2 linked regions of the Lytechinus pictus genome follow. The protein of the gene in region 2 binds, or shares a complex with, the protein of the main gene of each other region. Links are inferred from orthologs where the notes say so. Each region holds a gene or a part of one and is shown on either strand. Other genes may lie near its edges. The genes, in order: RAD50-interacting protein 1-like and NBAS subunit of NRZ tethering complex-like.

Region 1 (17,361 bases), on a different chromosome or scaffold from region 2:
CCATGCACCTCTCCAACTCCTGTATTTGACTGGTCAGACCTACTAGGTGTGTCACCATTGGCTCAGCCTGGGTCACATGACTTGTTACCAGACGTCGAGTTTGTTTGTAATCTGCCGCAAGGTCATCCAAGCGTTCTGTAGCTGCAGTGGCCTCAATGAGGGCACTCTGTATTCTTGATGGGGCTTCGGTGCTAGCTGTGGACAACTGAGAAGTGTTGAAAAATAAGTAGAATAATAATAATAGCAATAATTATACTTGTTTTATATAGCGCTTAACATTTACTGTAATATCAAAAGTCTCTAACCGCTCTAAAGTAATGCAGAATAATTAGCAAAGTACATGTAGCTGTTACGCACACTGCGTTCCAAGGCATAAATTCCTGTCAGGTACCCATTTATCTCACCAGGGTTTAGTGCAGCACAATGTCTATCAATTACTTGCTGAAGGAAACTACACTGTGGCTGGGATCCAAACCCATGAAGAAAAAATTGTTAAAAAGGGTAAGGTAGCTTGCACAACCTATTTAGGTCTCGATCTAGAAAAGGCCGCCTAAGATAGAGCCATAATTCTGCAGCTCTCGCACGCTACGACTTCTGAATGTGCAATGCACAATATTGTAAGATCATCAAAGAGCACTAAATGGCGTTGTCGCGGATGTGCACAAATTTGTGTATGCATAGTGTTTATGACTATGGCAGGGCGGAAGAATTCTATATCCCCCCCGTGATTGTACCCCTGTGTAGTGAATATGGTGGCAATGATCCAGCTGGATTTCAGCTGGATTCAGACATCAGATTTAGCTCCAATATCCAACAAAACCTGCTGTCAATAATTTGAACATTTTGAAAGCTCATTTTCAAGTACCGGTAATAAGTTTCAACACATTCTCGGGTCATTTTAGAGATCTATTTTGCTCCTTTTCAGCAAGTAAGATCAATAACTTTAAAGCAATTTTCATTATGTTTCAGGTGCTGACGATTATTTTTGATGCATTATTTATGAAAAATTAAGAGCTTTCTAAATTATTGCTGTCCTACTTTACAAAGGGCAGAAGCTGTAGAATTGCAGCAGTAAAACATGGCCACACCTTTCAGGATTTTATGATATACAACTCATACAAAGATTCTTGTTTATTTGATTGGTTGAAAGTCATACAATACTTGATCCGTTTTATGCTGCATTTTCCAAATGTTGCAAGACAACCATGCATTTGTAGCGACAAGCAAATTTTGTGGTAATGTAAACTAGGCACCTTAACTATTTACACGCAAAGCATTACGCGAAGTCCGTGAAGTGTCCAATCTTTAAATCGTATAGACTTTGGTGACCGTATTATTGACAAACGAACAAAGCTTGTACTGCTGATTTCGTTCAAGGTACGCAGATTTTTTCTATTGTTAAATTAGTCGTTTTAAATTATTTACAAAAAAGTGTAATCATCGCAAATAATAATCTTATATTTTCTTGCTCTTGACGTTGCTGCCTTTCCCTTGTTGCGTCTTTGATATGAATATAAATCGGCACCCTCTTTAAGCCAAAAATTGATATTGTAGCCGTGGTACAGGCGACGTCAAGAGCAAGAAAATATGAGGAACAGGGTGCTAAAAAAGTCAAACTCAAAGGGACTTTTATCATTTGGTACTTGTAAGTGAAATGGAACAATTTGATTAGATTTAAGATTTTGTAATTAAGTGCAATCGCATGAAAGTGTTTTATCTGGACTCCAGGAATCTCCAAAGAAGTCGAAGGATCAGCTCATAGAGAGAGTTGCATGCGTCGTGCCTTGATTTTCCCGTGCACAGCGGCATGTAATAAACCCTGGCTTGATTGACTAACCCAGGGAGCTCCGGCCCGCGAAGATTAAGATTTTTTTGAGACCCCAATCTACCCCAGTCACGTGTCTCCCTCGTTTGCACGGTCGACTACTGGGCTCCGCAGGCCGTACCTCAAGTGATGTTCGTGCAGGCTCCACTCCACTTCACTACCACTAGACTACGCTCCACCTACCCGAACATCAAGGCAGTGAACTCGTTCGGATACTCCGAGTGGCAAAGGTGGGAAAAAATGCACATTTATTAATTATTGTAAAAAAATATATAAAAAAAGACATCAACATAAATAAAAGCTTAATTTCTTACTCTTCACCCTTATTTCACTCAGTGTCCATCCTCCTGTCATCCTCAAAATTTGTGATTTTTGGCCAGTATCTAATTCCTCACACGTATTATTCACGGCCAATTTAAAAACATCGCATGCGAGGGTCGCAGGTCAAACAGCATGAATATTTATATTATATTGGATGGCTCAGAATTAATGGAATACCAGAAATATTCAAAGAGTTTGGAAAAATATTCCACGATTTGACCCCGCGATTTACCATTGACCAGTCTTTCAAAACCACCCTTTTTCTTGAAAATCTGTGTTTTGATACCCTTAACGAGTCCACACGCGGACCGCATCCAAAACTGAAAAAAACATCCCTTTAAACACGTTTTTTTGGTCACATGTGTGTACAGCAATATATTTGACTGGCCCCCCCCCCCCCGGGTTTTATTTATTCATTGTTGATGTCTTTTTTTTCCTTCTTTTTGTTACAATAAATATTAAATGTGCATTTTTTCCCACCTTTGCCACTCGGAGTATCCGAACGAGTTCACTTAGGGACAGTGATTTTCCGCGATCGCGGAAAACGAACGGAATTCACGGAAAGGGCCATTTTGAAACGGAAAGTGGCATTTCAAACGGAAAATCACGGAAAACGTATTTTCCCTCAAAATACACAGAATAGCAACAGAAATTACTCCAAAATCACTATAAAATGAGAATATTAAATGGCCACAAAACCCCAGAAAACACGATCTCACTTCGCTACTATCATGACAATTCACACATCGTGACTGCACTCGACATCAGCACACTCGATTGTACCCCGTACCCTTACCCGGCCGGCCAGCTGGGTTGGGCTTCACATGCACACATATCGTTCAACTACACGGTCGTGTGTTGCTGCCCTCTACGTTTGAAGATGTAACAGTACGATATCGTGGTCTTTAAATCCAAGATGGCGGATTGGCAAAAGCCGTGGACTGATAATAACGATGTCCAAAAACCCCCAAAATTATCGATGAAATATCATTTCACCGTGAAATAAAAAATAATGTGAAAGGTGAGGATGTATGCATGCTGAATGGGTTTGTAAAAATATTTTATGTACCCGCATAGATCTGATTAGAACGGATTCCATTGTGTTGTTGGTACAGTAGCAGATACAAATTTTGACCAGTGCGAGTGTACATGTTGTGATTTTGCTGTTCAATGTGTAAACGGAATTGTCACTTTTCCGTGTGTACAAAGTCTATGGGGAAATGGAATTTCCGTTTTCTGACATGCTGAAACGGAATTTGAGATTTTCTGAAATGGAAAAGGCAATTTTTTTAAACGGAAAATCACTGTCCCTATTCACTGTCTTGATGTTCGGGTAAATGGAGCGTAGTGAAGTGGAGTAAAGCCTGCACGAACATCACTTGAGCCTTGAGGTACGCAGGCCGGAGCTCCCTAGCCTGGCCTAGCCAGGCGGCTTCTAGAGAGTAAAAATCATTTACTAACGTAAGGTTACTCTCATACGAAGCCAGGCATTCCTCCCCATTCATCTGCGTGTACTGCAAAAAACCCTGAAACTTTCGCCCCCGAGATTTCTACTTTCCTTCTAAAAGATCTAGCTCTAAATCATGTAAATGGGATAAAACTTCATTTCCGACATTTCTACGCTCTCGTTATTTTGAAAACAAGAATTCATTAAAAAAATGAAAAAATATTGTGAAAAGATGGAAGAGACTTGCCCGATGTTTACGCCGCCATCTTGTTTCTTATTGTACTTCCCCAACGTTACGCAACGCTCGCGTCCGTAACGTTGGGGGAAACAAGATGGCGGCGTAAACATCGGGCAAGTCTCTTCGTCTTCCGTCTTTCCATAATATTTTTGGCATAATTGTACTTGATGCCCCCAGGGGACATCAACTTTTTTACCTTGATTCGTGGATCCTCGACCCGACCCTGTTTATCATCGGCGAGTTGATATCCATCCGCGCGTGGTTCGGTTGATCGCGCAACAAATAAAGTAATTGGGGGCATCAAGTACAAGTAATATAAGAGAGACGAGCTTTAGCTCTCAAGGTTACATTAGCTATCAAGGTTAATTTGCCAACAAGGTTAATTTTGGCTACAAGGTTAATTTTGTTGAGATTTTTGGGGGCATCAAGTACAAGTAATATAAGAGAGACGAGCTTTAGCTCTCAAGGTTACATTAGCTATCAAGGTTAATTTTGCCAACAAGGTTAATTTTGGCTACAAGGTTAATTTTGTTGAAATTTTTGGGGGCATCAAGTGCAAGTAATATAAGAGAGACGAGCTATAGCTCTCAAGGTTACATTAGCTATCAAGGTTAATTTTGCCAACAAGGTTAATTTTGGCTACAAGGTTAATTTTGTTGAAATTTTTGGGGGCATCAAGTACAAGTAATATAAGAGAGACGAGCTTTAGCTCTCAAGGTTACATTAGCTATCAAGGTTAATTTTGCCAACAAGGTTAATTTTGGCTACAAGGTTAATTTTGTTGAAATTTTGGGGGCATCAAGTGCAAGTAATATAAGAGAGACGAGCTATAGCTCTCAAGGTTACATTAGCTCTCAAGGTTAATTTTGCCAACAAGGTTAATTTTGGCTACAAGGTTAATTTTGTTGAAATTTTTGGGGGCATCAAGTACAAGTAATAATAGAGAGATTATTCTCTAGCTATCAAGGTTAATTTAGCCAACAAGGTTAATTCGTTTCGACGATGTTATGAAGCCTTGCGCGGCTAGAAAATAGAAAAAGAGGGGAAATGGGGTTAGTGGAATGTAAACTTCTGAATAAACGTGCTGAATAACTGGAAAACTTGGGGGCATCAAGTACAAGTAATAATAGAGAGTTTATTCTCTAGCTATCAAGGTTAATTTTGTCAACACTTCTAGGATTACTCGCCGGATCACTGCTTTCATCAATTTTGGGGGCATCAAGTGCAAGTAATATAAGAGGATAGATGAGGAGGCAAGGATGCGCGCTCATCTAGATGCACCTGTTTGCGCATTTGTACTCGCATCTCATATGGGGTGCGCTAGCGCAAACCAGAACTACTTTCTATTTTTTTTTATAGTGAGAAAAGAAATGTTTACATTTTGGTAACGAAGAATCATCGGGAAATCAAGGAGTACCAAAAGGTAAAAACGTTCATGAGGAGGCAAGGATACTTGATGCCCCCAGGGGACATCAACTTTTTTACCTTGATTCGTGGATCCTCGACCCGACCCTGTTTATCATCGGCGAGTTGATATCCATCCGCGCGTGGTTCGGTTGATCGCGCAACAAATAAAGTAATTGGGGGCATCAAGTACAAGTAATATAAGAGAGACGAGCTTTAGCTCTCAAGGTTACATTAGCTATCAAGGTTAATTTTGCCAACAAGGTTAATTTTGGCTACAAGGTTAATTTTGTTGAGATTTTTGGGGGCATCAAGTACAAGTAATATAAGAGAGACGAGCTTTAGCTCTCAAGGTTACATTAGCTATCAAGGTTAATTTTGCCAACAAGGTTAATTTTGGCTACAAGGTTAATTTTGTTGAAATTTTTGGGGGCATCAAGTACAAGTAATATAAGAGAGACGAGCTATAGCTCTCAAGGTTACATTAGCTATCAAGGTTAATTTTGCCAACGAGGTTAATTTTGGCTACAAGGTTAATTTTGTTGAAATTTTTGGGGGCATCAAGTGCAAGTAATATAAGAGAGACGAGCTATAGCTCTCAAGGTTACATTAGCTATCAAGGTTAATTTTGCCAACAAGGTTAATTTTGGCTACAAGGTTAATTTTGTTGAAATTTTTGGGGGCATCAAGTACAAGTAATATAAGAGAGACGAGCTTTAGCTCTCAAGGTTACATTAGCTATCAAGGTTAATTTTGCCAACAAGGTTAATTTTGGCTACAAGGTTAATTTTGTTGAAATTTTGGGGGCATCAAGTGCAAGTAATATAAGAGAGACGAGCTATAGCTCTCAAGGTTACATTAGCTCTCAAGGTTAATTTTGCCAACAAGGTTAATTTTGGCTACAAGGTTAATTTTGTTGAAATTTTTGGGGGCATCAAGTACAAGTAATAATAGAGAGATTATTCTCTAGCTATCAAGGTTAATTTAGCCAACAAGGTTAATTCGTTTCGACGATGTTATGAAGGCTTGCGCGGCTAGAAAATAGAAAAAGAGGGGAAATGGGGTTAGTGGAATGTAAACTTCTGAATAAACGTGCTGAATAACTGGAAAACTTGGGGGCATCAAGTACAAGTAATAATAGAGAGTTTATTCTCTAGCTATCAAGGTTAATTTTGTCAACACTTCTAGGATTACTCGCCGGATCACTGCTTTCATCAATTTTGGGGGCATCAAGTGCAAGTAATATAAGAGGATAGATGAGGAGGCAAGGATGCGCGCTCATCTAGATGCACCTGTTTGCGCATTTGTACTCGCATCTCATATGGGGTGCGCTAGCGCAAACCAGAACTACTTTCTATTTTTTTTTATAGTGAGAAAAGAAATGTTTACATTTTTGTAACGAAGAATCATCGGGAAATCAAGGAGTACCAAAAGGTAAAAACGTTCATGAGGAGGCAAGGATACTTGATGCCCCCAGGGGACATCAACTTTTTTACCTTGATTCGTGGATCCTCGACCTGACCCTGTTTATCATCGGCGAGTTGATATCCATCCGCGCGTGGTTCGGTTGATCGCGCAACAAATAAAGTAATTGGGGGCATCAAGTACAAGTAATATAAGAGAGACGAGCTTTAGCTCTCAAGGTTACATTAGCTATCAAGGTTAATTTTGCCAACAAGGTTAATTTTGGCTACAAGGTTAATTTTGTTGAGATTTTTGGGGGCATCAAGTACAAGTAATATAAGAGAGACGAGCTTTAGCTCTCAAGGTTACATTAGCTATCAAGGTTAATTTTGCCAACAAGGTTAATTTTGGCTACAAGGTTAATTTTGTTGAAATTTTTGGGGGCATCAAGTACAAGTAATATAAGAGAGACGAGCTATAGCTCTCAAGGTTACATTAGCTATCAAGGTTAATTTTGCCAACGAGGTTAATTTTGGCTACAAGGTTAATTTTGTTGAAATTTTTGGGGGCATCAAGTGCAAGTAATATAAGAGAGACGAGCTATAGCTCTCAAGGTTACATTAGCTATCAAGGTTAATTTTGCCAACAAGGTTAATTTTGGCTACAAGGTTAATTTTGTTGAAATTTTTGGGGGCATCAAGTACAAGTAATATAAGAGAGACGAGCTTTAGCTCTCAAGGTTACATTAGCTATCAAGGTTAATTTTGCCAACAAGGTTAATTTTGGCTACAAGGTTAATTTTGTTGAAATTTTGGGGGCATCAAGTGCAAGTAATATAAGAGAGACAAGCTATAGCTCTCAAGGTTACATTAGCTCTCAAGGTTAATTTTGCCAACAAGGTTAATTTTGGCTACAAGGTTAATTTTGTTGAAATTTTTGGGGGCATCAAGTACAAGTAATAATAGAGAGATTATTCTCTAGCTATCAAGGTTAATTTAGCCAACAAGGTTAATTCGTTTCGACGATGTTATGAAGGCTTGCGCGGCTAGAAAATAGAAAAAGAGGGGAAATGGGGTTAGTGGAATGTAAACTTCTGAATAAACGTGCTGAATAACTGGAAAACTTGGGGGCATCAAGTACAAGTAATAATAGAGAGTTTATTCTCTAGCTATCAAGGTTAATTTTGTCAACACTTCTAGGATTACTCGCCGGATCACTGCTTTCATCAATTTTGGGGGCATCAAGTGCAAGTAATATAAGAGGATAGATGAGGAGGCAAGGATGCGCGCTCATCTAGATGCACCTGTTTGCGCATTTGTACTCGCATCTCATATGGGGTGCGCTAGCGCAAACCAGAACTACTTTCTATTTTTTTTTATAGTGAGAAAAGAAATGTTTACATTTTGGTAACGAAGAATCATCGGGAAATCAAGGAGTACCAAAAGGTAAAAACGTTGATGTCCCCTGGGGGCATCAAGTACAATTATGCCATATTTTTTCATTTTTTTGATGAATTCTTGTTTTCTAAATAACAACGAGAGCGTAGAAATGTCGGAAATGAAGTTTTATCCCATTTACATGATTTAGAGCTAGGCCCTAGATCTTTTAGAAGGAAAGTAGAAATCTTGGGGGCGAAAGTTTCAGGGTTTTTTGCAGTACACGCAGATGAATGGGGAGGAATGCCTGGCTTCGTATGAGAGTAACCTTACGTTAGTAAATGATTTTTACTCTCTAGAAGCCGCCTGGCTAGCCTGGCCATGCCCCTGGGTTAGATTGACTTGACGAGTGCTCCGGCTCCTGACTAGGCTATCCTACGTCAATGCGAGGGTGTGGGACTACAGTCTAAGGTATAAACAGATCTGAACAATTTACCTCTTGTTCTATCCTTGCCTTTTCCTCAAGTGCATCCTTAAGCATATCTTCGGTAACAGAGAGCTTTTTGATATCATTTCCTATCTGCATATCAATCATTCGACGTATTTCATCCGAATATCCAGGCAATGATGAGCCCGATTCTTGATGTGGTCCCTTCTCAGCCATCGTCGCAAAGTTTTTTCTTCATCCTTTTTTTTTTTTTTTTTTTTACGTGTACGTACGTACGTACGTACCGTACGCTGCCCAATTCTCGCTCACCCTCACAAGCGCGATGCGCACGCTGCTTATTATGATTATCATTTTAAATTCGTCCCAAATTCCTTATAGTTTAGTATACTCGCATAATTAAGCACCCAAGAGGAGACCATTACATGAAAAAACAAAGTGTGGAAAAATAAAATCAATCCCTTAATAAATCATCGTGAAATACTGCTTTAAATGTAAAGTAACCCGATAACTGTTTGAACTTCGATCAACTGTACCGCAACTGCACCAAATTACGTTTTTTTTCAATCACTTTAAAAACTCCTAAAAACAGTGAAAAATGTTATATTCTTATATGATGAATGAAAATGTGAGATTCGTAGGTGCGGGAGGTCCTGATATGTCGTCATGACAATTTTTTCTAGAATGAATATTTGTTGTGTGAATGAATTAGCGAGGGCATACCTTGAGATAGCAGCCTGCCCTAACTCCGCTCACCCTGATTGTGTATGATAATCATTGTAAGAGTATAGGGCCTAAACGGAATTGTCATAATTTTTCAAGTAGACTTTTCTTTAAAATCTGATTTTTTGTGTCATTTCCTCTATTTTGATGGTGCTGAACATGAATCCGCTTGTTGCCAGTTTCATAAATGCCTCCTTCCGCCGTTGCCATGGCAACTGATTAATATGTTTAAAAAAAAAGTTGATCCTATATATATGGCACATTACCCTGTCAATTTAAATGGTCCAATCTATCATTCTTAAGCCTTCCAAATTCAATTTCTAGATATAGGCCTATCAAGTCATCAAAGTATTTGCAAAAGATACATTGCCATGGTAACGGCTTATCTTTCCCGCAGAAAAATACAATTGTCTTGATTGCCTGCAGAGACATGCAGAGCGCCGCTTTTTCCGACGGCGCCGCGCGGGCGGCGTCGTAAACATTGAAATCTTAAAACAGGATAAGTTTGTGAAATGTAATCATAAGTTTGAAATAGGCCTACAGGTTTTTATAGCTATCATGAAACTTCGAAATAAGGGAGTCAGTGAAAATCCTATAGTGAGTTTCAGGTCATGCCACGGTCAAAGGTAATTTAAGGTCAATGACGGAACTTTGGCCAATGACGTTGGGGGCATTTATTGAATTGCCATCATAAATCAACATTATGGTGGGAAAAGATGAATGGTGGAAAATGACAATGAAAATGCCAAAATCTATGTAGGTTTGACTTAAATATCGAAAACAACAGAGTGTTCTGCATGGATATAAGTTCATTTGAATGCATGATAATGGTATGTTGCCATGGTAACGCCTGATTACTCTACTAATTCAACTCGTGAATTTAATATGAGATGAAAATTAAGTGTAAACAATGTAGGAATGTCTGAATTTATTTCAGGTCATAATTCATAATTTTTTGCTTGTCAAATTTTCCAGCCCCTTGCCCCCCCCCCCCCTACTTTTTGGGAGAGATTTCCGCCCCTGATTCAGAGAAAAAACCGAGACATTTTAAGCACTTTTGTAATGATGTTTTATGTTACAAACCGAGAATGACTTGAAAACAAGACATGAATAATGAAACAAACGGGCAATGCGGGTGCGAAGCGCAGGCTGAATAGTTATTTTGTTCTAAATGAAGGGGACAGGTATTTGTCGGTCCCCCAACTCTCATTTTCGTCTTGTCTTCTTCCTTTTATTTTCCTTCCTCTTAATCTTTTTTTTTTCATTTCATTATTTTCCTATTCCGGCCTTGATTGATACCTCTTCCGTTGTCTTTTTTGCGACGCGGCCATTTTTTCTTCTTTATACTCTTTTACATTTTCCTCTCTCACTTCTCCTATGATTTCTTCTCTATCTCCCCCTCTCTCTCCCTTTAGCTGAGGGTGACGGCAAATAAAAGCCCCTCGGTCGTCAACGATTTATCATGGAGCAGGCAGATAAGCTGACGTTTACAGAAATGTTGAAAGATGATCAAAAGAGTTTGTCACTGTTCACCAGAAATATTTCGAGATTTAATTGTAATCATTGTCCCGGCCCAAAGTGTTTGGGAAAAAGTTTTACAAAAATTATCTTGCTCTATAACGAATCGTAGGGTCATCAATGCTAAAAAATGAGACTTCGATGTTTATCACTAAATACCGACGTACAAACAACTTAGAGATATAGGGATAGTTTTTTTTTTTGTTCTGGGGTGAAGCCCCTCCCCCGGTTCCGCGGCCCCTGGCAGGCTGGCATGTCTTCTAGGCTATTATCGATCGTAATACTGTTTTTTTTATGTGGCGTATTCATATTTTGATGATTACCAATATTATTTACTCAGAGTATGACATTTAGGGATAATTTAATTGGAATGATGGAAATAGATGTGTAATTAGGCCTATATGTGATAACTTATGAGCCTAATGATACATATATTTTATGGTAGGCCCATATGCATTATCTGCATGCCTATCTGATTCATATCTATAAATCTAAATAAAATAAAGAATTTAAATGAATAAATAAGAAAAAATCTCCCACTAATGGGCCTATATATAGGCCTTTTGAACTCGGTCAGTAGTTTCCTGATTGATTTGAATAGATGAAACTTTGTCATGTTTCTGGAGATTTCCTTTTTTTAATTGTGTTTTGTTTGAAAACGGAACAGGATTTAAATTGACCAATTTATTTTGAACAAATATAATTTTTTTGAGTGCCTTTTTCCCTCTCCTATTATTGACGGAAGTTCGAATATGAACTTAAACCAGCGAGGTGATTAAATATTTATTGTTGTTTTTCAAGATGAGCTTTTTTTTAATGAAAGTCAATATAAGGGAATCCCCCCAAAAATATTATCGGAGTTCAGGGTTCAAGGTTTATGCACATCAACATTTCACATTTTCAAAAAATCAACAATTCAATACAAACAATAATATTATACAATAGGCCTACAAGTTTTCATAGATAAGCATAAATAAACATCGTAAAAATATGAAATGTGTACATAATATAACAATAGAAAAAAGTACTAGAATGTATTCTTGTAATTGGTTCTAAAATTATGACAAAGAAAGAAAATGAGAGATGTGGATATGAGGGAGCTAAAAGTAAAAGCAAAGCTTGTTGGTTGAAGGCTCCAAAGAATTATGCAGTGAGAGTCCCATAAAATATCAATACGACAAGAAAAAGTAAAGAGTAAACAAAAAAGTGGGATACACGAATACATATATACTTGATAAATAATGAGTCAAGATAGTGTAAAAGCAACAAATTTGATTTAGAACCTGAAGGAGGATGCAAATAATTATTTCAAAAAAAAAAAAATAATAATGGAAATCAATGGCCAATGGCATCTGGGGGCGATGAGCGGAAGGGACGACAAGGGGGGGGGGGGCACTCAAGTTGGATGAGTGGCGAAAATGATTACTTTGAATGGCGAATGTGCTAAAAGAGTTTTATAGCGTTTTATTTATAAGAATGTAAATTCATCAATATTCATATTTTAAGTTAATTAAGTTAACTTAACTATATCAAGCATGTTATTCTATTATATATATTGTTCTTTAAACATTTTTGTTCATGCTGACTCTTTTATCCGCTTCCGATTTTTTGTAAGCACCCTTATTATAGCACTGGTTAGGGTCATGGTCTTTATTGACAACAGTAATTTATTTGACCCAGTGGGTGCTCAATCTATATACTCTGTTAATGTTGTATTACATTAATTGTTCCAATTTCATATACTTTTCATTTCCGAAATGAATAAATAAATAATAATATACTCATAAAATTCACGAATGGATTAGAATCATATTCATATTATTAGACAATTGAAATCAGTTAAAAGTTTGTCGGGAAAGGTTTTTTGAAAATATGTATTTTATAAAAAATACGGAATAAAGTTTGGAGGATAAAAAAAACCGATATAAAGGCGTAGATCAGTAACAAAAAGTTACTTTGAGGCCCTAAAAATAATTGCACTTGGCGAAAGAAACATTTTATACAGTGTATAGTACTATAAAACTTGTATACAATACATTTAATCAGAACAAAATTACACACTTTCTCACTCAGAAGTGCAAGAGAAAAGGGTAGAAAAAAGAGTTAGACAGTATCAGGCCTTAACACCATGTATGAATGCGCGCGCTAAGCGAGCGGAGTTAGGGCAATGGTGAGCGGCGATTGGGCAGGCGCAAGGGGTGCCAAAAACGGCGAATTACGCAGCGGGGCTTCTAAGACATATAATTATTATCCTATGAAACGATTTTCCAGTATTTTCGCTTTCAGATGACATATGGAAGTAAGCATATCGTAGCTCATTGAATGAAACATAAAGGAAAATACGTAAACTGAGCGACGATTGGGCAGCGTACGGTACGTGTACCGGTATCTAGCGCATGCGCTCGAAGCTGATCAGATCCGCTACGCCCCTGATTACTTGTACCTGTAGATTAAAGTAAGGCTTTTTTTTGGGGGGGGGGGGGGGGGGCTTTACTCTAATAAAAAAGTCTAAAGAGTCAAGATAAATTTCTGATCGATCGATGTGCGATTTTCTGCTCACGCTTCATGCTCGCATTATTAATGGAGGAATTATGATTTACAAAACGTAGTGTCCTGTTTTTAGGTCTAAAATCTCAATTTTCTTCCACTCGCATTAATTGTTTAGTTATGCATGACCTATACCTTTCATGATTACAAAGTGCTTGGAATGGCCTTTTTTTAGGTTGGAATGGCCTTTTTTAGGTCGGAATGTTGAAATTTTCAACTCGCGCTGGCATTATTTTAATTGTTGAAAGAATTTCCGCTCGCGCTTTGGCGCTCGCACTTAAATCTATACGCATCTTGCCCAGGATCACAAACATTCAAGTTCCACAGAATGTTAAATTTTCAGGACAAAACTTGAGATTAAAAAAAAAATCTAATAGGGCTTATGAGATTATTTCATTTAAAAAAAATAAGAATAAAGCAAGAAGTGACTGATAAAAATATGCATGAAAACAAAACTGCCGCCCCCCCCCCTATCAGTGAGAGCTGGATCCGCCCCTGCCATGTCTATCCAGCGGAAAATTGACAAGTTGGGGGGCACATTCGTCTGAGTGGTACTCGCTCTGTCAGAACTGAATATTTTGCCAAGCTAAATTGGATGAAGTCTACCCCTTACCCCCACTTGTTGCCATTCTTATGCTGATATTTCCTCTTTTTATCACTTCTACTTAGGCCTATCTAAAAAAAAATGAATAAATCGCATGACATATACATGTACATGCAGGGCATTTTAACTTGAAATAAGATCTCATATGATGATCAAAAATTGTAATACGTACTTTCAAGCTAACAATTTGGATTGTGAGGTGATATTAATACTATAACACGCACATACATCTGCATTAAAAATTTGTTTTTCTCACGTAATTTCCGTTTACATTGTGAACAAGTTCAGTTTATCTATTGTGACTCATTCTTACTGGACTCCTCATAGTAGACGAGTTAGCAATTGGATGAATTGGCATTGGATCAAATGAAAATAAACCGAATCCTCAAACCGTCTTATTTACATATTCACTTTTTGATGACTTGAATTATCACGTTATGTAATAACTTCTGGAGATGAACATATGAATTTTGGTCACTAGTTTCAATCATTGTACCGCTTTCTGACTCGCATAACTCTATATTACAGCTGGTTAGTACAGAAAAGTCTAATTGCCGACTATAATGAATTTCAACGTACTATTTATGTCATCCTTCTTTCTTTCTTGTTCATTATTATCAGCAGCATCATCATCATCTTTATCTGCATCATCATCATCTTCTTAAGTTCTTCATCACTTTAATCACAATAATCTTATTCTTTCTATCGTCACCACCACCTTCATTTTCATCACCATCATCATAATCACCACCATCATCAACCTTCAACATCCTTTTCATCACCATCTCATCCGAACATCTCCCTCTATCTAGGCCGGGGTATTTTGGGAGTTCATATGGCCGGGGGGGGGGGGGGGGGGGGTTGAGATCTCTGCCGTCGACCGCGCCGAAAATTGGCACGCAGGTTGTCTGGGATATAATCTACAAAATTGTATAGTAATTTGTTTCATGCGAATTGTTATTAAGTAATTATGCTAATTTATGCATAATTAGGATGCAAAATCATATTTTTTCCTGTAACTCCATAAATAAAGCTCCAAATGTTCTAATTTTTGGCATAGAAACTCTTTGTGGTGTTCTTAGCAAGTTTAGAAGAAAAAAACTGTTATCAGATCAATTTCTATATTGTTTTTTGCAATTTCTTATGTATTTCTTTGTTTTTTGGACCCTTTGTTTTTCATTGTTTTTTCAATGAAATTTGTTGGGGACTCTTCTAAGATCATAAACAGCATAAAATACATACATTTAGACCAGCAAAACTAAAAATAATGATACATTTATGATTTCTGGTTGAAAACACAATGTACATTGACTTTGTACACAAAATCATGTTTTTGAGCAATTTTTGGTCTTACATGTACCGTACTTATATAACGTTGCGTAATTTCGGAAACGCGTACCCGGGTGACGCAAAATTGGTCTCAAAAGTTGCGCAAGACTTGAAAGTAAAAAGTAATTGAGCAGCGCAGTAAAAAAAATGTGCGCGGCGAAAATATTGCGCGACTCGTTGAGGGGGGCCTAGATAGGGTTAATATAACATCAACTAATCAATTCATTGACTCTCGTCACTTTGTTTGCTCATTCCTATCTTCACAATTATCAACATCACCCATGTACTGTATTCATCATAATCACCATGTGTATCTCTGGGTTCCATGACATTTGCTCTGGCGACAATTGCTTGGCTATAAATTCTACACACTAATCAAATGACTAACTTCAACCCTGGATGTAACACTATAACATAAAACCCTACTGCAAACCTAACCCTAAACCTATATCTTAAACATTATAAAGCCCAGAGCAGTTGTCGAAGGAGCAACTGTTGTGTCACCGAGTTGTCACCATCACCACCAGCAAGAAAATATTCAAAATTAGAAAAACAAAACAAAAAAAGATTGTGTTGAGAAGTACGACAAGATTTAATGTCAATTTAAGATTCCAAATATTCTGTAATTCAATGTAATCATGCCACAATTGAGCGGAACCCCATCCCTCTCCTCCATACCTGTTCTACACCCCCCCTCCCCCACATCCAAATCCAGTACATGCACATAAAAGAAAACTGAGGAAAAATGGAGAAAAAAAAACAAAAAAAAATCGGTCTTTCAGGCAGATACATAACGAGTGACCATTATAGACAGGTATCCCTACAGAGAGAGGTTGGGCTGGGCAGTAGAACAGAATGATCCAATGGTTATCTAAAAAATTGGAACCATCAACTACATCTTCTGCATTACTAAGTATATAATGCATAATAAATACATGTTCATCTCAAATTCAACATGATCAAATTGTATAATCATGGAACAATAGAAGATAATAATAACAAAAAGCCACCAGACACTGAAACCAGTTTTTAGCCATGAAAAGTGTCACAGCTGTCTTCTGTATGTATACTGAAAAATTTATATTCAATATCTTTAAGCATTGAAAGGAGGGGGGGGGGATTCAAGTTTATTGACAATACCATCATAAATGTGTACTTATTTTGGGTAATGGCTATGTAAGCTCAATATAGGTAACTATTTGACAATCAACATTCTATCCATATACATGAAATTAGTAGATTCCCCCCCCCCCAAAAAAAAAAGTAAATTATTTAATGATTGATTGCAACTAAATAAATAAAATCCCATAACAATTTGTATTGATTCAATCCTTGGCCACCTGGAGATTTCATCTTAAGATGAAATATATATATATATTATGCATACATCCTACGTAAGGGCGAAGTCTATGAATGGGTTTATTCCGTTATAATACACATTTAGATGTTAAGTCGAAGGTAGAGGGCGTTAAGGCGCATTGCGAACATTGAAAGAAGACAACAAAATTTGTCTTATCTGCAGATGTAGAAAGATATATATATATATATGACAATTTAGTAGCAATGGTCAAAATCAAATTACATACCATTGCAAAATATGAATTGGAATGATATTAAAAACGTATTTTGTGGATCAGGTCATTTGTAATATAATAATATAAATTTATATCATTGCAAGTATGTATACCATAATTGCAAGGCAAATGATCTTCAATACATTTTGAAAGGAGAATGAGGGTGAAGAGAGGGAGGGGGAAGGGGGGGTGTCCATTGAATAGGATGTGATAAAACCAATGACCATTTCCCATTTTATTTTGCTAATCTGTAGTTTAAATAGCATGAGTAAGTCTCAATGCAATAACTGCTACTACCTCAATCTCAGATAATAAATATTAATTCAGGTTTCATCTTATCTACTAATAGCTGATAGAAGTTGCACCAAAAATCAGAAAAAAATAGGGGTCATTCCAGATAGTAGACAGGTGATGATGTAAGATATTGATCTGTGGGACATCATCAATGGCTCTACTCATCATCTCCTTCATCTGTAGAGAGAAAACAAAACATATACAAGAGTTTGACATGGTGAGAAGGTATACTTTATCTCAACTCAGTATATAATCAATACTACCTACAATTATGTAAAGCCAAAAAGGATGTTAAAGCTAAATATCATACAC
Region 2 (17,025 bases):
GCAATGACTTGGCAACCAAATGGAAGAAGGAAAAGAGGCAGTCCGAAGCACACCTGGCGACGGACTTTCCTCAAGGACTTGGAGCACCATAACCCGAGTACCAATCTGTCAGAGGTTGAAGTGATTGCAAATGACCGACCCAGATGGTAACAGCTTGCTGCCCAATTCACCACACAGCACAGGAGGATAGTAAGTTAAGTGCTACTTACCTTGCTGTAGCTATATGCCAGCTGATCTGAGAGTTCACAAGTCTGATAAGAGTTGCCGGTAGAGAGCATGTTGAAGATGACCTGTGAAGGTGAACAAAATAGTAATTCATCATCATAATTAGCCATGTTCAGGCCTCCCCAGCTTGTTGCCAAACGTGCCTTGCAACTACAAAACTACTCTCACCATTATTATGTTTTAGCATCCCCTATAATGTTATATTAATGCATATTATATTAGCAGACCTCCAAACTTCTGATTTAACAATTAGGGATCATTCTGCCCTAAAAGAAGGAAAGATTTATTTTTATCCCAACACACACACACAAAAAAAGTTAATTTGAACAACAACAAAAAAATTTAAAGCAAAATTTTGAACATTTCATCAAAATATCACAATCGGGTTTGAAATAATACAGTTATGACATTTCAAATTTTCACTTGATTTCTAACATTTATATACGCCATCCACATCCTGGTCAGTATTTCTCAGTAAGCAAATGAGGGATCCAGTTACATCATCAACTCACTATTCAATACATGAAATATTTAGAAAATTTTCCTTGGCAACTAACATTTTATTCCTCCACGAACATGAGGCAATTTTCATAGTTTTAGCCTAATGTGATCATATGACAAGCTCCCTTACTGTCAAATCTGAAAATAACATCATACAACTGCTCATTTTTTTTTTCAAACACAAAAGAAATAGTGAGTGTATGACATCATCAGTTCTTTCACTTCCTTACTAGTTATGTGAAAATAAGCAACTTCACATTAAAATGTCATAACCTACTTATCTTACGTGAGATGTTTGTTTGATTTTCCTTTATTATTTAATTCAACTATTTGTTGGGTGGACGTGGCCTTTTAGAAATCAAAGACTGCAAGAAAACAATCTGAGCTGCACTTACCCAAGAGGGATTCCTGTGCTTCTCACAAAAGTCCACAAAGATCCTGAAAGAAAATAAAATAATAAGTAAAAAGATACATTGAAAATATAGATAATTTACTAATATTAGCATTTTTTCAAAAAGAAAAATGCGCGAGGAAATATCTAAAGTTTATTTAAGGTCTGTCTGACATAGCAACAATTAAGGAATGTGAAAGCCAATTATACAAAAAAAATATTAGCAATAATGAATAATAAATATTCAAATAAGATAATTTGTATACAAAAAGAAGTACATGAATATAAATGATTTTCCAATGAACATAAATGAGTTTCTAAGAATAAACTTTACTTCCAGTAAAGGCAAACCATTCAGAGAAAATTAACTGAACCATGGAATGAACATGAAGAAAAAAACATTGCAAAGGTATTGTATAAGGAATGCAAAGCCGGGGGGCGTTCCATGAAAGGACTTGTCGGACGTTTTATCCGACAAGTCCCATTTTATCCGACAATTACCATATAACAGTACCTCTCAGCCAATCAACATCAGAGAAAGATGTCAGATCTGACAACTTGTCGGATGAATATGTTGATGAAACACCCCCCAGGAGATGAAAGGATGGCAATGAAGAGGGAATATGAAGCATGAGATAAGAATGTAAAGCATGAGATGAATAAAGGAGTCGGAAGTGGTGAGATCACAGAAAAGGTAACATCAAAGGAAATAGAAACATTCAATACATTAGTGTTCAAAATAGAATCCTACACTTGTCAAGTTACTCACTTGCGGTTGCAGAAGATACCTTTCCAACGAGAGAGCCCCTGGGTTTCTCTGCAATAACACTTGTCTATGAGAAGGAGAAATAAAACACAAGATTTACTTTTGATGGATGTTCTATGTGCTAACTACCGAACATCATTCACCCCCACCACAAGTTGTAGGTCAAGGAATAATGAGGAAGGCCCTGACAGCTAGTTCATAATCATGAGTTGATTTTTAAAAAGCAGACAAAAATAGACAAGAAAGAGATATTATATGCTTATGATTGATGAGTGAATATTTTGTCAAAAATCCATCAAATAACAAATATTCAGATTTTCACAATTTAATTTTTGACATCATAGGCACTTGAGCAGCTCCCACTCCCAGGCAATATATTTTCTGACAATCCAAAATTATTGTTTTTGTATTTGCATCTGTAGATCTAGTCTAGATCTAGATCTAGTCTAGGACTCCTATTCAATATCAAGATAATTGATATTGTTATCATGCAAATCAGGGCTCTGTAAAACAAAGGTTAGCAATTAATCGTACAATCGAGTTTCACGATTGATTGTACATTGTAGCCAAAGCAATCAATTGTAGAAAAACGTTCTACTACGATCATAGCTAACATTAAGCTTTGCTGTTTCGGGCCTCAGGCATGCATGTTAGATCTAGATCATGTAACGTTAGATATTATCAGTAGAGGTGCTGGTCCAAATATTGCCAATATTATTGGGATTGTCCCAGGAAACAAGGATATCCTCATAAACCAAGACAAATCATGTCTTGATAAATTGAGACTGTCCTTGTTTATGGGGACAGTTTTTTTTGTTCACTTACCCCTGCAGGACAAAGACAGCAATTTCGGGGATTGAGAGTACTAAAAATAGATTCAGTGACCTCAATTCCCCCCACTTCTGCCTTCTTCCAATAATCTTGTAAATTAAACCTGTTCAATTTGTTTACAATGACTAGCATACCGCACTTGATTGGTGTTGTTACTTGACAGGTGAATGAACTTTCCGAGATTTCTTGTGTGGAGGAATCTTTGAAAACACAGTCCCTGTTAACTTGGACGATCCCAATTTTCTGACCAGCACCTCTAACGTTAAAGTCTAATGACTTAACGAAAGTTACTGAATATAGTCATAGATAGTCTAACTTGTTAGTTAGAATTTCTAATTTTTATCAAAATCATTGATCGAGCCCACCTAGCTCAAGTAGAATTAACGTTAGAAGGTCCAACTTAGCCACTTTAAGCCTTTATCGTTGAATGACATGGCAATTGTTCACATGTATGGTCGGACCGGCGCTAATCATGCAATTTCGCAAACTTTGGCAACGGCCGGGGCCGACTTCTCTTACTCAATGACACGACACTGTGTCTATGACAGTCGACAGTGACACCCAGGGGGGTACTCGAACAAAAAAGTGGTAGGTAGCCTATGTGCCGCAGGCGAGACAAAAAACGGGGGCTTTGGAGCGGGCTTATTGTAAAAAGGAGGATCCTCGGAACGGGCTTTAGAACTACAAATGTTTGTGAAAATGGGGGTCCCGAAATGGGTCGCCTGCATGTGAGTGCGTATGCATCCCTATGGAACGGGCATACGTGCAGCTAGCCCAGCAGGACGGACACCTGGGGAGCATTTCATGAAAGGACTTGTCGGACGTTTTATCCGACAGGTCCCATTTTATCCGACAGTTACCATAGTAACAGTGCCTCTCAGCCAATCAACATCAGAGAAAGATGTCAGATCTGACAACTTGTCGGATGAAAATGTTGATGAAACACTCCCCAGGTGCGCTCGCGCAGAGGCGATGGTCGGACAGCACTCTGTGGCCGCTTTTCACCAAAATTGAAGCTCATTGTAGCGGATCTATGCGGCCGGAACGGCGCTATGAAAAATATGCGAAGCTTTGGCTTTGCCATGATCGGCAGGGGCCACAAAACGGTTTCCAAAGTGAGGGGGCTGAGCCAAAATTGGCGGTGCTGACCATGCCAAAAATCACAATCATATGGTAATTTATACGTTTTTGTACACGGTTTTGGAAAAAGCCCCCCCCCCCCCGCTTCCGCGTCCCCTGATCGGAACAGAATTCTTTTTTTTTTCTTGATAAGAAGAAAATGCTATGGCTGCTTTGGACCGGCTTTCTTTGTTTTTTTCTCAATAAGATAAAAATGCTATGCATTGGAATGGAAATTTGAGAGTAAAAGTGGGGGTCCCCTCCGCGGCACATACCAACCTTGCATTATATAGTGAGACCACCACATATCGACCACCTCTTTTGAAACCCACCACCTTGCGCATTCACATTATTGCGTATTACAAACGTTACGCACGGGAGAGTAGGCGCAGTGTCCATAGGAACAGTAAGAATCGAAGGGGAAAAAGGTAAAAATTTAGTAGAATTTATCAAAATTGTTTTGACTAGACCTGAACCCTGCCGAAGAACAGTTGTTCATACCAAGAAATCCGATAGGAAACGGCTTTAGAACAAATATCCGTTGTCAATCGTCGAATCATGTGCCAGAGCTCGCAGTGGCAGTGTAACCAGATTTCACAAAATGAAATACGGGACAATTGACAAAAAAGATCAACAAAGAAGGCTACACAGTTTTAGACTTGTGAAAAAAACTATAAAGAATTGGAACTTTGGAAGGGAGGGTGAACAAAAGAAAAAAGAAGCGAAAGAAAAGAGATGAATTGAGAAGAAAAAAGAAAAAAATGAAGGGGAAAACGAAGGAAAAAAATAAAAAATAATAAAAGAAAGTTGGAATAAAAGAAGGATGAAAGAAAGAATAAAATATAGAAAAAGGTTTCTGTCATTCTTTGAATTGAATATAGAAAGACAGAAAAAGAAAGGAAGGGAAGATGAATAAATGTGTGAAAGACAAAATAAAGGAGAGAAAGAAAAAAAAGGAAAGTAAGACAAAAAGGAAGAGGAAAGAAAAATGTTTCCATCATTCTTTGAAAGAAACAAACAAAGAAAGAAGAAAAACAGGAAGGGAGGGAGGGAAAAAATAAGGGAAAAGAATTAGAAGGAAAAATAAAATAAAGAATGAAAAAAGGAGGAAAGAGAGGGAGGAAAGAATAAAGAGAGGAGAGAATGAAAAAAAAGAAAATAATGGAAGGAGAAAAAGAACGAAAAGAAAAAGAAGAGGAAGTGAGAAGGAAGCAAAGAAAAGTTTGAGGAAAGAAAGAATGAAGGAAATAATAAAAGGAAATTTAATAAAGAAGGCAGGTAAGAGAAAGAAGGAAAAGAAAGACAAATGAACAGAGAGAGAGAGAGAGAAAGGATCAGGAAAGAAAGATAGGAAATAATGACAGATGGAACAAAAAAGGGCAAGCAGGAAGGATGAAAAAAGGACAGAAAGAAAGAAAGAGGAAAAAAGTTCAAACTTCAAGCAAAGAAAAACAATCCAATCATCTAACAAAAATCATATTTGGTGTTTTTTAAATATATTTTTAAAATTGAAAAACACTAAAATGTTTTAGAAATGAATAAAATGTCAAAGTGAAACCTTGTCAACTTAAAATTAGATGAAACATCATGGCATCATACACAACAAGTAATAAAAACTCAATAACTTATTCCTCCGACTACATCTCCAAATCAGTAATATGAGAATCCATAATAGAATTATACAAATTTTCCGCCGATTTTGTGATTATTTTGGTGGAAAAACTGTTTATCATGTCATTGTTTGCCCCATTGAGAATCTGCTCCAATCCTACATGCCTAGCTAGTACTAGTAGCCTGCCACACATAGGCAGGAGGCCAGTTCGCTTGCAATGTATAGGGCTAGCAAGAAAATCACCACAGAACTTGCAAAAGTTTAGTTATCGATTTTATTGTTGTCTGCTTCGTCATCTGTTGGTTATTTGATGAAAATTCGTCACATTTAAAGGTAAAGTCCACCCCAGCAAAATGTTGATTTGAATAAATAAAGAAAAATCAAACTAGCATAACACTGAAAATTTCATCAAAATCGGATGTAAAATAAGAAAGTTATGGCATTTTGAATTTCACTTATTTTTCACAAAACAGTGATATGCACAACTCATTGACATGCAAATGAATCAGTCGATGATGTCCATCACTCATTATTTCTTTTGTTTATTGTTTGAATTATAAATTATTTCATTTTTTACAGATTCGACCAGAGGGACCGACTTGACTGAACCATATAGTATTAAACAATGCTAATTCCACATGTTAAAGGAGGAATTAATCACTGTTTCACTTGACAATGAAGAGAAAATGAGAATATTTCAGATTTCATAATAAAATACAAAAGAAATAGTGAGTGGATGACGTCATCAGTCTCCTCATTTGCATATCGACCAGGATGTGCATATAACTGTTTTGTGAAATTAAAGGGATGGTCTGGGCTGAAAGTATTTATAGCTTAATAAATAGAGTAGAATTCAATGAGCAAAATGCCGAAAGAAGTTTAAAGTTTAGCAATATTTTGTGAAAACAGTCGTCATGAATATTCATTAGGTGGGTTGATGATGTCACATCCCCACTTGTTCTTTTGTATTTTATTATAAGAAATTAGGTTTATTCAATTTTTTTCCTCTAAGAACTAGAAAAATTGGATTGACGACTGATTTAGTGCATTAGATATTTATTGCTGCAACTTATTTCATTATAAGGGAGACATATTATTCACACAAGTATGAAATAATGAAATAAAATACGATTTCATGTAGGCCCTAATAACATAAGAAAACGGAATGTGGAGATGTGACATCATCAGCCCACCTAATGAATATTCATGACAACTGTTTTCACAAAATATTGCTAAACTTTAAACTTCAATAACTTTATTATTTGTAATCCAATTTTGATTAAATTTTTGGCATTTTGCTCAGTGAATTCTACTCTATCTATTACGATATATTTATTTTCAGCCCTGACCATCCCTTTAAGCGAAACTTTAAAATGTCATAACTTTTTTATTTTACATTCAATTTTGATGAATTTTTCAGTGTTTTGCTTGTTGGATTTTTCTCTTTTTATTCAAATCATTATTTTGTTGGGGTAGACTTTTCCTTCAAATGTATTAACTATGTTTTTTCAATATTCTGAAATACGGGACAAATAGGCGTCCCGAGAAGGGTTTGTCGGGACGCCGTGACAAATGAAGGAGCAAAATAGGGGACGACCCCGGGAAATACGAGACATCTGGTCACCCTGCGCAGTGGAAGTAGTGAGACGGTCATTGACTTAGCGTGTTGACATCACAGAACTGATTTGGAAGAGTCAAAATATTTCACCACCGCGACAAGAGTCGGCCGTAAACTTATATAGTTATAGTGTATCGTGGGTGGTCAGTTTCAAAAGAGTGCAAATTTAACCCAGGGCAGGGAGCTCCGGCCCGTGAAGCTGGTTGGAGCCCAGGACTCGTCCGTGTAATATTAGCTCCCTGGGTTAGGTGCAAATGAGCAAATCGTCGTATTTGATGTTCGCCGATATAAATTCTAACGACAACGTTCTGCGCGAGTTGAATCAGCTAAATCGGAGTCGCCGACCGAAACATAATTCTGCACAAATAAGAGTTTAAGACAAAAGCAAGGAAAAACTGATTTTCGCAGATACGATGCGTAGAAATTAGGTGGTCGATAATTAAGGGGTAGGGCCTATATAGCTCCACCCATACTGAGTGCCCCCCCCCCCCCGGCCCGACAAAGACAAGTCACAAAGTCCAGAATTGAAACTCATGTCATGAAAAAAAAGGCAGAATGAGAATCCCAGATCCAGATCTAACGTTAATAGCGATCTAGGCCTACCTAATTGCGTGTGAAAATTATTTTGACACTCCTGATGAAGACTTACCAATGGTTCTGATTCTTGAGACCATTCATACGGAAAGAAAAGATCGTATAAGATTGTTTCCTCTTCCTCCTGTCCTTGATTCTGTGTCACCTCATCAGCAGACGCCATTTCAACACGTCACGTCATCATAGCTTACGGCCGGTATACGTGAAATCGAATATGTGGGTCTGTTTCACTAATGAAGATATCAACCTATTAAAATAGTTCAGGTTCCTTTCTGTGTGGCCGTACTAGTAGTGAATTACAGATCTATCATATTTTTTCCAGATGGGGGAGGGGGTAGTGTTAATCGTCTTCGATCTATTTATTCATTTTTTTTTTTTTGGGGGGGGGGGGACAAACGGATACAAGGTCAATTAAGTATACCCAGTTGTTGTGTGTCCGGACAGGTTGTGTGTCCGGACGATCAATTATAGGAAGTCATAATTGAAGAAATCTACAGGCGAAGTTTCATCAATTTTTAGTACAAAATGTAGGAAATATTATAGAGAACAAAATCGAAGATGATTGCAACTATTGAATTCATATTTTTAGGGTAATCCAAAGACAAAAAAGAAGGCTTCAAAAATATAAAGTGTCCGGACACCCGATCCCCCATCCTACCCGATGCGTTTATGCCCAGGAGGGCCCTGCATCGTATACATCCAGATTCAGATCCAGACAAGACATTACAAATACAAATACTACATGTATGTCTATAACAAAAATTACAATTATTATTATCGCTATAAAAGTAAGGGAAACAGAAATTTAAAAATATTGTATTAAACAAAGGAAAATCAGGTTGCATTCTCAATGAGAGGGAGAAAAAAAAATCTACCTCCTAGCTTTGATCGGTAAGGATCCAAAAGGATGGGTTCCCCCTTGAAAAATATTTGCTTTGTCTAAGGGCGACCGCACACCTTGCGATTGGTCTGCGACTCAATTTTGGAATAAAACGTAGTAGAATTTGATGCCTTATATTGAGACTTGGAATATCTTACTGTGTAATGTTCGAAATCATCGTACGATATCTATATTTAAATCTGTGACTATGCTATCATCCTTCTTAGAATAAAAACAAATTTAATATCTAGTCGTAATGACGTCATAGCAGTCGTACGATTGGCTACGATTTGAAACTAATTTGGCCTTTACTCCAAAATAGAGGCTTACAATCTTACAAAATGGTTATATTGGTATTCAATTAATTTTAACCTCAAATAAAATGATATGTTCCATTCACATTTTAAGAAAATTAGCAAAATGCAATTTGTTCCAAAATCGGATCGCGAACAGTCGTAAGGTGTGCGGTGGCCTTTAAACGACTAGGGGAGGTGCCATATGCCAGGTGTCGTGCTCTCCGGTGGCCGGGGTTCCAATTCGTCCCATGGGCGGAAATCTCTCCTTGAAGGTAGGGGGGACACAATTAAATTGAGTTTTCCGTTTTTATGCTCTACAGAAATACTAACTCAAGTACACACACACCCTCTCAAACACACATATATATATATATATGTATATGATGCTGTTTTGTGCGCGGTTCCATGACTACCACAATCATGCATGAATGTTATTATTTCAGTTCTTGTCTCTGTGAGCTTTATTGTATCCCTGAGGAAGACGTTTAACGTCGAAAATTTGGAATTCAAAATAAACTGTTGGAACAAAGTATGCATTACCACTTTGCCTCATTAATATATATATGTATATATATATTTCGACGAGGGGACAGGTATTCCTAACTAAAGATGAAAGGCCTCAATAAATAATGCAAGCCCAAATATGTTGATATTTCATAAATTGTGATCTGGAAATTGAACATTCTGAACATTTTTTTATGATCATGAACTAGATTCGAACCTACCTTAACAATTAATGCGCTTCGCTTAAAAATTTTTGATTTTCCAACCTAAAAACTAGAAATTCGTAACACTTTTTCAAATCATGTACAGAATAAGAATTCAACTAAATAATAGATGCGAGCGCGAGCTGAAAGTTTTTGATTTTTCAACCTTGATACTAAACATTCTTAGTACTTAAAAAAAATCATGAACAGGATAGGAATCTAAACAATTAATGCAAGCGCGAAGCAAGAGGTGAAAGTATTTGATTTTCCAACCTAAAAACTGGACATTCTTAACAGCTTTATAAAAATCATGAACAGGATAGGAATCTAATAAAATAATGCTAGCGCGCTGAAGGTTTTTGATTTTCCAACTTAAAAACTGGACATTCGTAACACTTTTTCAAATCATGAACAGGATAGGAATCTAATCAATTTATGCGAGCGCGGAGCGCGAGCTGAAAGTTTTTGATTTTTGAACCTTGATACTAGACATTCTTAGTACTTAAAAAATTATGAACAGTATATAGGAATATAAACAATTAATGCGAGCGCGAAGCAAGAGGTGAAAGTATTTGATTTTCCAACCTAAAAACTGGACATTCTTAACAGCTTTATAAAAATCATAAACAGGATAGGAATCTAATAAAATAATGCTAGCGCGAAACGCGACCTGAAGGTTTTTGATTTTCCAACTTAAAAACTGGACATTCGTAACCCTTTTTCAAATCATGAACAGGATAGGAATCTAATCAATTTATGCGAGCGCGAAGCGCGAGCTGAAAGTTTTTTATTTTCCAACCTAAAAACTGGACATTCATAGCACCTTAAAAAAATATGAACAGGATAAAAATCTAATCAATTTATGCGAGCGCGAAGCGCGAACTGAAAGTTTTTGATTTCCAACCTAAATACTGGACATTCTTAGTACATTTTTTAAAATTATGAACAGGATAGGAATCTAAACAATTAATGCAGGCGCGAAGCGCGAGCTGAAAGTTTGTATTTTCCAACCTAAATACCGGACAATCGTAACATTTTTTCAAATCATGAACAGGATAGGAATTTTACTAAACAATATTAGATTCGAGCGCGAAGTGTGTGCTAAAGATATGTCATTCCCAGCCTAAAAATTGGTATTATTAGCATATTTTAAAATCAAGGACAGGGTAGCTATCTAACAAAATTTTAATTAATGTGAGCGCGAAGCATATCCTGATTTTTTTCCCCGACCAAAACAGTCATCTTCTTTTCACCTTATAGCAATAAACAGGATAGTATCTGACTCAACCATATTACTGATGCGAGCGCGAAGCGCGAAATGATTTTTTTTTATATTCAGATCTGAAAACTGGATCATTCAAGCACTTTTGAAAGAAAGAACAAAGGCAGTTTATCTCAATAAGCAATGCGAGCGCAAAGCGCAAGCTATTTTTTTGTTAAAGATTTAAACCTACAAATTATGAAAAAGATGGATATCTTCCTAAATAAATGATTTGACTTTATATATTTAGATCTAAAGAGTGAAAAAAAGCACGTTTTGAAATAAAGAGATGACTGTGTATTCATGGAAAACGCGAGCGATTTTTTTTATTTTTATACTATGACCTGAAAGTTTTATTTTTTCCAATTATTCCCCTCCCCTTCCATCATTTAAGATTCTTCCTCGTCCTATCTTTCTTCTTGTTTTTATCCTCTCCTTCCTATTTTGTGCCGGCAATAGGGGGCGGGCTGCCGCTTCGCCCCCTTCATCTACCTATGGTGACCCCTCTCACGGCAGGAATTTTGTGGAAAAACGGAAAATAAAAGTCACGTTAATAGAGTATTTAAAAACAAATTTTGGGGGATTAAACATAGTAAGGATTAATCATAACTCATGAAAACTATTCTTTTTACTGAGTATACGCGAACAATGAAAATATTCTTATATTCCAAGTATATTTGGAATAAAGGGAAAATGAATTGGTTTAACAAAGGTATGTTTTTACTGGGTATGGAACATTCTCGTTTACCATCTATGCACTAAATTTACTTATAATTATCCAGAGGCAATTTTCTTTTTTCGTCATTTTTATTAGTTATGAAATTGACAATGGCCATCGATGTCATCAATGTCATCATTCTTTGGCTGGCATATAGGGCTAGATGCGAGTTCGAGAATAGACGGGCCGGTATGCCTTTTCTTTTCCTATCCCAGTTCTTAACAAAAACTATCTGTTTATATAGTTTTCGAAATTCGAGGATACATGTGTATAATTTCGATTTTGAATTATGTATTTTTTCCATAATAAAAGACCACAAATATTAGGGGGGACATTTGATATTATGCCCCCCCCCTTCCAAAATGGTAGGCATGGTAGGGGGACGCGTTCCCCCTGTCCCCCCTGGAATTTCCGCCCATGATTCGTCCAATTGCCAACTCGTCTACTATTTTGGTCTCATCAGATTATCCACTATCCCAGGGGCGGGCCTGCCGGGGGCATAATGCCCCCCACACTTTTTGAAGCACTGAAAATTTTCCCTTTTTATGCAAGTAAAATGCCCCTCACGACTATAAGCCCCTTTTACCTGAGGGTGACCCGTTATTTAGGTGTGAGCAATTAGTGCCCCTTGTCTTCTTGTAACCCGTGCCCTTTCTCGAATCAGTGCCCCCTTTTTACTCAAGAAAAGTTCCCCTCACGAACGTGTTTTGTGCCCCTTTTACATGAGAAGGCCTTTTGTTGTTAACGAGCGCCACTTAACAAGAAAACAATATTCTCATTTTATATGTTACTACTTATGAAGGAAATATTGTAAGAATAATCAGACGTGCCTTAAGTTTCATGAGTCATGTGAGTGGGGTAGATAAGCAGTGGCGTACAGATGGGGGCTCTTGCCCCCCCCCCCCCAAAAAAAAAAAAAAAAAAAAAAAAGACGGAGTAAGAAAAGGAAAGAGAGAATAATAATAATAATATCTTGTTGATCGCACACACCGCGTCCAGAGACGCTCATGGCGCTAGCCCAGCAACAGTTCCTTTATACAAACAACAAATATTTAAAAAAAAAAAAATAGATCTTAAAAAATACAACCGAGTACATACTTTAAAAAAGAACAGTTTTGTATCACCCACCGGAATTCCTAGCTAGATCCTCGTAGGGGCTGGCGCCCTCCTACCTGCTGCAGTGCTGCTCCGTTCACCGACAATTTAAGGGGTAAAATATGATATTATTTTATGAATATTATGTCAAGGCTAGCTACCACAAAATTCGTTATAAAAATGTCAAAACTTTTGCTCGCTCGCAGCTACTTATTAATTTTTCGTGCTACGAAATATCTAGAACCCTCAACAATTTTTTTTTGACTCATTACACCATTATATAGATAAGACATTTTTTTCCTTTGTTTTTAAGTGCCCTTTTCGAAAGAAAGGTGCCCTTCTTCCCCTGTGCCCCCCCCCCCAAATTCAACTTCGCTCCGCCGCCCCTCACCAGGCTGATTGCCAATTCGTCCACTCACCATCTTGTATGATAACCAGTTTGTCCATTAGCCATAATTAGTCCATATAAATGAAAGTGAAATTGATAGACCAACTGGTTACGAGACGAAATGGTCATAGACGAAATGGTTATAGACGCGAGGTGATGATTGGACCAAATGGTTATTGGACCAATGGTTCTTAGAAGAAATGTCGATGGACGGAATGGCATTATACACTTAACGAATGTAGATCATGCGGTGAGTGGACGAGATGGCAGTAGACGAATTGGTAATTAACCCTCTGAGGGAGTCTCTGCCATGATAAAAAAAAGTTTCCTAAACGACCGTACTGACGAATAATTTAAAATGATTTAAAGAAAAGACAATTAAGATGAAAAGAAATGTGTGCGTTTTACCATTGATTATTATAATTTTAAAACCTATCACAATTATTTTTCACAATTATTTTTTCTATTTAAAAAAGGCAAAAATATTATTACTTGTGACTTAGAAATTCCCCTTAAACACACGCTGGCCATTCTGCGCCCCCTCAAATTCGTTTGGCTTAGTACGCTACTATTATACTCACGCCAGAATTAATGTCCTCCTTTTATGCTTTTTTTCTTACTTCACTTTATACTTCATTTCTCTTTGTATTACTATGCCTGTTCATCTGTCCAAGAGAATAAACTGTATGCTCCACACGTTTTAAATTAACATGTTCAATAAATGAAACAAATGATGAATACCCCCCCCCCCCAAAAAAAAAAAAAGGGGGGGGGGTTGAGAGCAGAAAAGTACTGGTGCTTCGTTTATTGTGATGAGGATGCATGCTGACCGTCGGAGATGGATCCAACACTCTCAGTATTTTAGTTATGTCACGGCATGAGTTTAAGATGTCTGGATAAAATTACTGTTTGGATCGAATTTTCACTAGTAAAGCCTTGGATAGACTGGGGCAAGAAGGGGGTGGGGATGGCTTGAGGAAGCTGAATGTTTTCTCTCATGGTCTGCGCACTTCTCCTCCAAAAAAGCTCATAATATATTGGAATTTCAGGGTAAGATAAAATAAACTTAATGTTACACTGCTTCCGATGCTGCCCTAGCTAGTTTCAACTATTTCTGTTCCCTGCAATCATACAGAATAGTGATAACAAAAATAAAATACAGTGGCTCTTAAAGGGATCAAATTAAGTTCACCCTGACAAAAAGCGGCTGTCAAAATACAAAATATAATGAAAAATACTAGTGAAGGTTTAAGAAAATCCATCGATGATTAAAAAATTTGTTAGAATTTTCAGTTTCATACGAGCAGCTGCCCCAGTTATGTAATATGAAATTCATGAATTTCGATTTTCAATGGTCCATGATGCATGGTGACTAACTTATTTTTTTCTTTTAGGAGAGTTAATTGTGAAATGATAATAGGAACAATAAAAACCAAACACGGCCCTATGTAATTATTTGTCTTCGATTAAAGGGTCTTTAATTCGTGAGGGAATTTTCCGACGATGACTTTCTCTTCAACAAGTAAAATAATTTCAAGGATAACATTTTTCTATAACTTTTTAACAAACTAAAAAAAAATCAGAGTTGTATAGCGCCATCAGAATAGAACACGAATCGATTTCCACAAATTAGGATTTAAATCATTTTTCCAAACAGCGAGCTAGCGTATATGGCTTGCATAATTATATACTAATAATAGTCAGAAGTGTCCTTTAAAAGTTATGCTGAACTAACGAAACAAACAGCTACTTCAGGCAAAAACGTAATAAATGGTGAATATAATGTAATTTAGAATGGGGTCATCTTTCCTTTTCAACTATATAGAGGAAGCTTGTCCCCCCGCCCTCGTGCAGTTTCAACTTCACTCTACCGCCCGTGTTAAAAAATATCGGTGAAGATTTGAGGAAAATCCTTTAAAGATGAGAAAATTATTAGATTTGTTTTTAACTTAAAAGTTTTTATTTATGACATCATATGCGAGCAGCTCCCTCAATGTTGTGAAAAATAAAATGAATAAATTAATTTTCTAATAGTTCATGATGAACTAAACCTTTTCCATTCAGGAGTGGGTGTGAAAGGATCTTTCTGTTGATATACTGAAGGCACAATAAAAAACATTTTGATTTTTTAAAGAGAAAATTAATTTTAATTTATTTTTTACCACGCGGTATGGGGAGCTGTTCGTATGACGTGACAAATCAAAATATAAAAATTTTAATAACCTTTTTAAACTTTAATGGATTTCACTCGAACCTACACCAATATTTTTTTCTGGTATTCTTACAACAAACTTTTCTTCAGGCTGACCCCCCCCCCCCCCCCCTCCTCTTTAAATCAAATAAAAGAGGTCAGAATGTTAAATTTTGAGGACAAAAGATATAGTTGGGACCGTGGGAATCATTTAGAATAGACAATTAGACAACATCCATATTTATATATAGCCTGCATGGTCGCCCTTGGATTATAGCCCCTGAGCAGGCTTTACTGCCATAGAAAGAAACATATTTAATGAGTCAAGTTGAATTTTAAGGGCCTATTATTTGTATGGAAACACATACTTCACCCCGGGACTTCACTGAACATCAGAGATATGCTTTTGTAAAAAGTGATCGTTATTTTTGTGCATTATCAAATTGGCTAGTAGTGACCGATCAGACTGCTCGGTAGCAATCTACATTTTCAGTCAATAAAATTTGCTGACCTCGAAAATCAACTCATCCCTTTTTATGAACAGAACGTTTTGTTTCCTTTTTTATATAGTAAACAATGTAAAAACCAAATTTCAAAATTTCAATACAACATAAAAAATTATTTTAAGCATATTTGATTTTGTAATTCTTATCTTATATAGATATGAAAATTGAAATAAGAAAATTTAGTTAAAAGCCCCGGCCAAGCCTAATTCGATCGATTACGCAATATTTACACTACACTCCTCGTCTGTTGTTTTCTTCTCATTTTTAGACATTTCTCGATAAACATGGTGTGTATACCCTGCATTGTCATTCCACTTGTTTTGTGGGTATTTCACCGGTTTATTCAACCCTTTGTCAACCCGCTTTTACCCGAGAGAGTCAAATCCTGGTTCAATTTCAACATGAGAATTTACGGAGTGACGCCTCCGAAAGGCTCCGCCGAAGCCGAAGGCACCGGCAGAGGCAGTGAAGCCGGAGACGGGCAATCGCAGAATCCAAATGGAACAGAGAAGGTTGGTGAAGGGAGAGAGAGAGATAGAGTCATATAGATGTAGCATAAAACATAAGCATGATCTATGATTTGTGTATGGGGGGGGGGTCAACAGATAAATCTATAATAATCATTTTTGTGTGTGACTGTGATATCTGACTCTGAGTCTGAGAGTGATAATTGATGAGATAAAACTAAGCTCTAGTCTGAGTCTGAGTATTAAAAGACGAAAACTTAAAGCCAAGCCCAAGGAAGGTGCTCTGGTGTCGATATGAGATTGTGGACCCAGGCCCAGGGAACATGGTGATGACTTTCGGGAGCCTGGGGGTAATTGTTCCTTTGATCTTCACTAATAATAATTCTATTTCCTTGGTCAGGATAATTTTTATACAACCAGTGCACCAAACAAAAATGGAATTTGATCATTTATTGAATCTCATATTATTTTATGTTCAATTGTTGATTTCAGTTATGTGTAGGCTCTACTAAAAAAGTACTATATTACTAGTACACTAAGTGATACAGATTCATGTATGGATATGGATATCTAGATAGTAGATACATAACACTTCATGAGATGAGGTGGCAAATTAATTGTTTATTTAATTCCCCTTTATTCTGCTTTAGTCTTTCAAAATATGTGTCTTAAAGTTGTCTCTTACATGTATGTTTTGTTTCGTATTCTTCCCCTTGCCATACAGGAAAATGAATATAATCAAGAATCCACAACAAGAACTGGCTGCCCTTTCAAACCCAACAGTGTTCAAGCAACAACGGTTGGAGGTGATAAAAAGACTGACTAGTCCTAGGTCCTCATTTCAGCTGATATTAAAGGA

Evidence for each region.
Region 1: NBAS subunit of NRZ tethering complex-like (region 2) and RAD50-interacting protein 1-like share a complex: the UniProt entries of both Homo sapiens proteins name them as parts of the NRZ complex. The link is inferred for Lytechinus pictus from reciprocal best matches to the Homo sapiens genes NBAS and RINT1.

Annotation. Positions count from the first base shown.
Region 1 is NC_087254.1:36,484,316-36,501,676, forward strand, and holds the start of RAD50-interacting protein 1-like, read right to left. Parts: upstream 8,711-17,361; 5' UTR 8,680-8,710; coding exon 8,512-8,679; intron 206-8,511; coding exon 1-205. Other genes in the region: eukaryotic translation initiation factor 3 subunit D-like, read right to left, coding at 17,207-17,226. UniProt on the Homo sapiens protein: Involved in regulation of membrane traffic between the Golgi and the endoplasmic reticulum (ER); the function is proposed to depend on its association in the NRZ complex which is believed to play a role in SNARE assembly at the ER.
Region 2 is NC_087249.1:16,526,734-16,543,758, forward strand, and holds the start of NBAS subunit of NRZ tethering complex-like, read right to left. Parts: upstream 7,901-17,025; 5' UTR 7,821-7,900; coding exon 7,713-7,820; intron 1,951-7,712; coding exon 1,887-1,950; intron 1,165-1,886; coding exon 1,122-1,164; intron 291-1,121; coding exon 210-290; intron 1-209. UniProt on the Homo sapiens protein: Involved in Golgi-to-endoplasmic reticulum (ER) retrograde transport; the function is proposed to depend on its association in the NRZ complex which is believed to play a role in SNARE assembly at the ER. Required for normal embryonic development.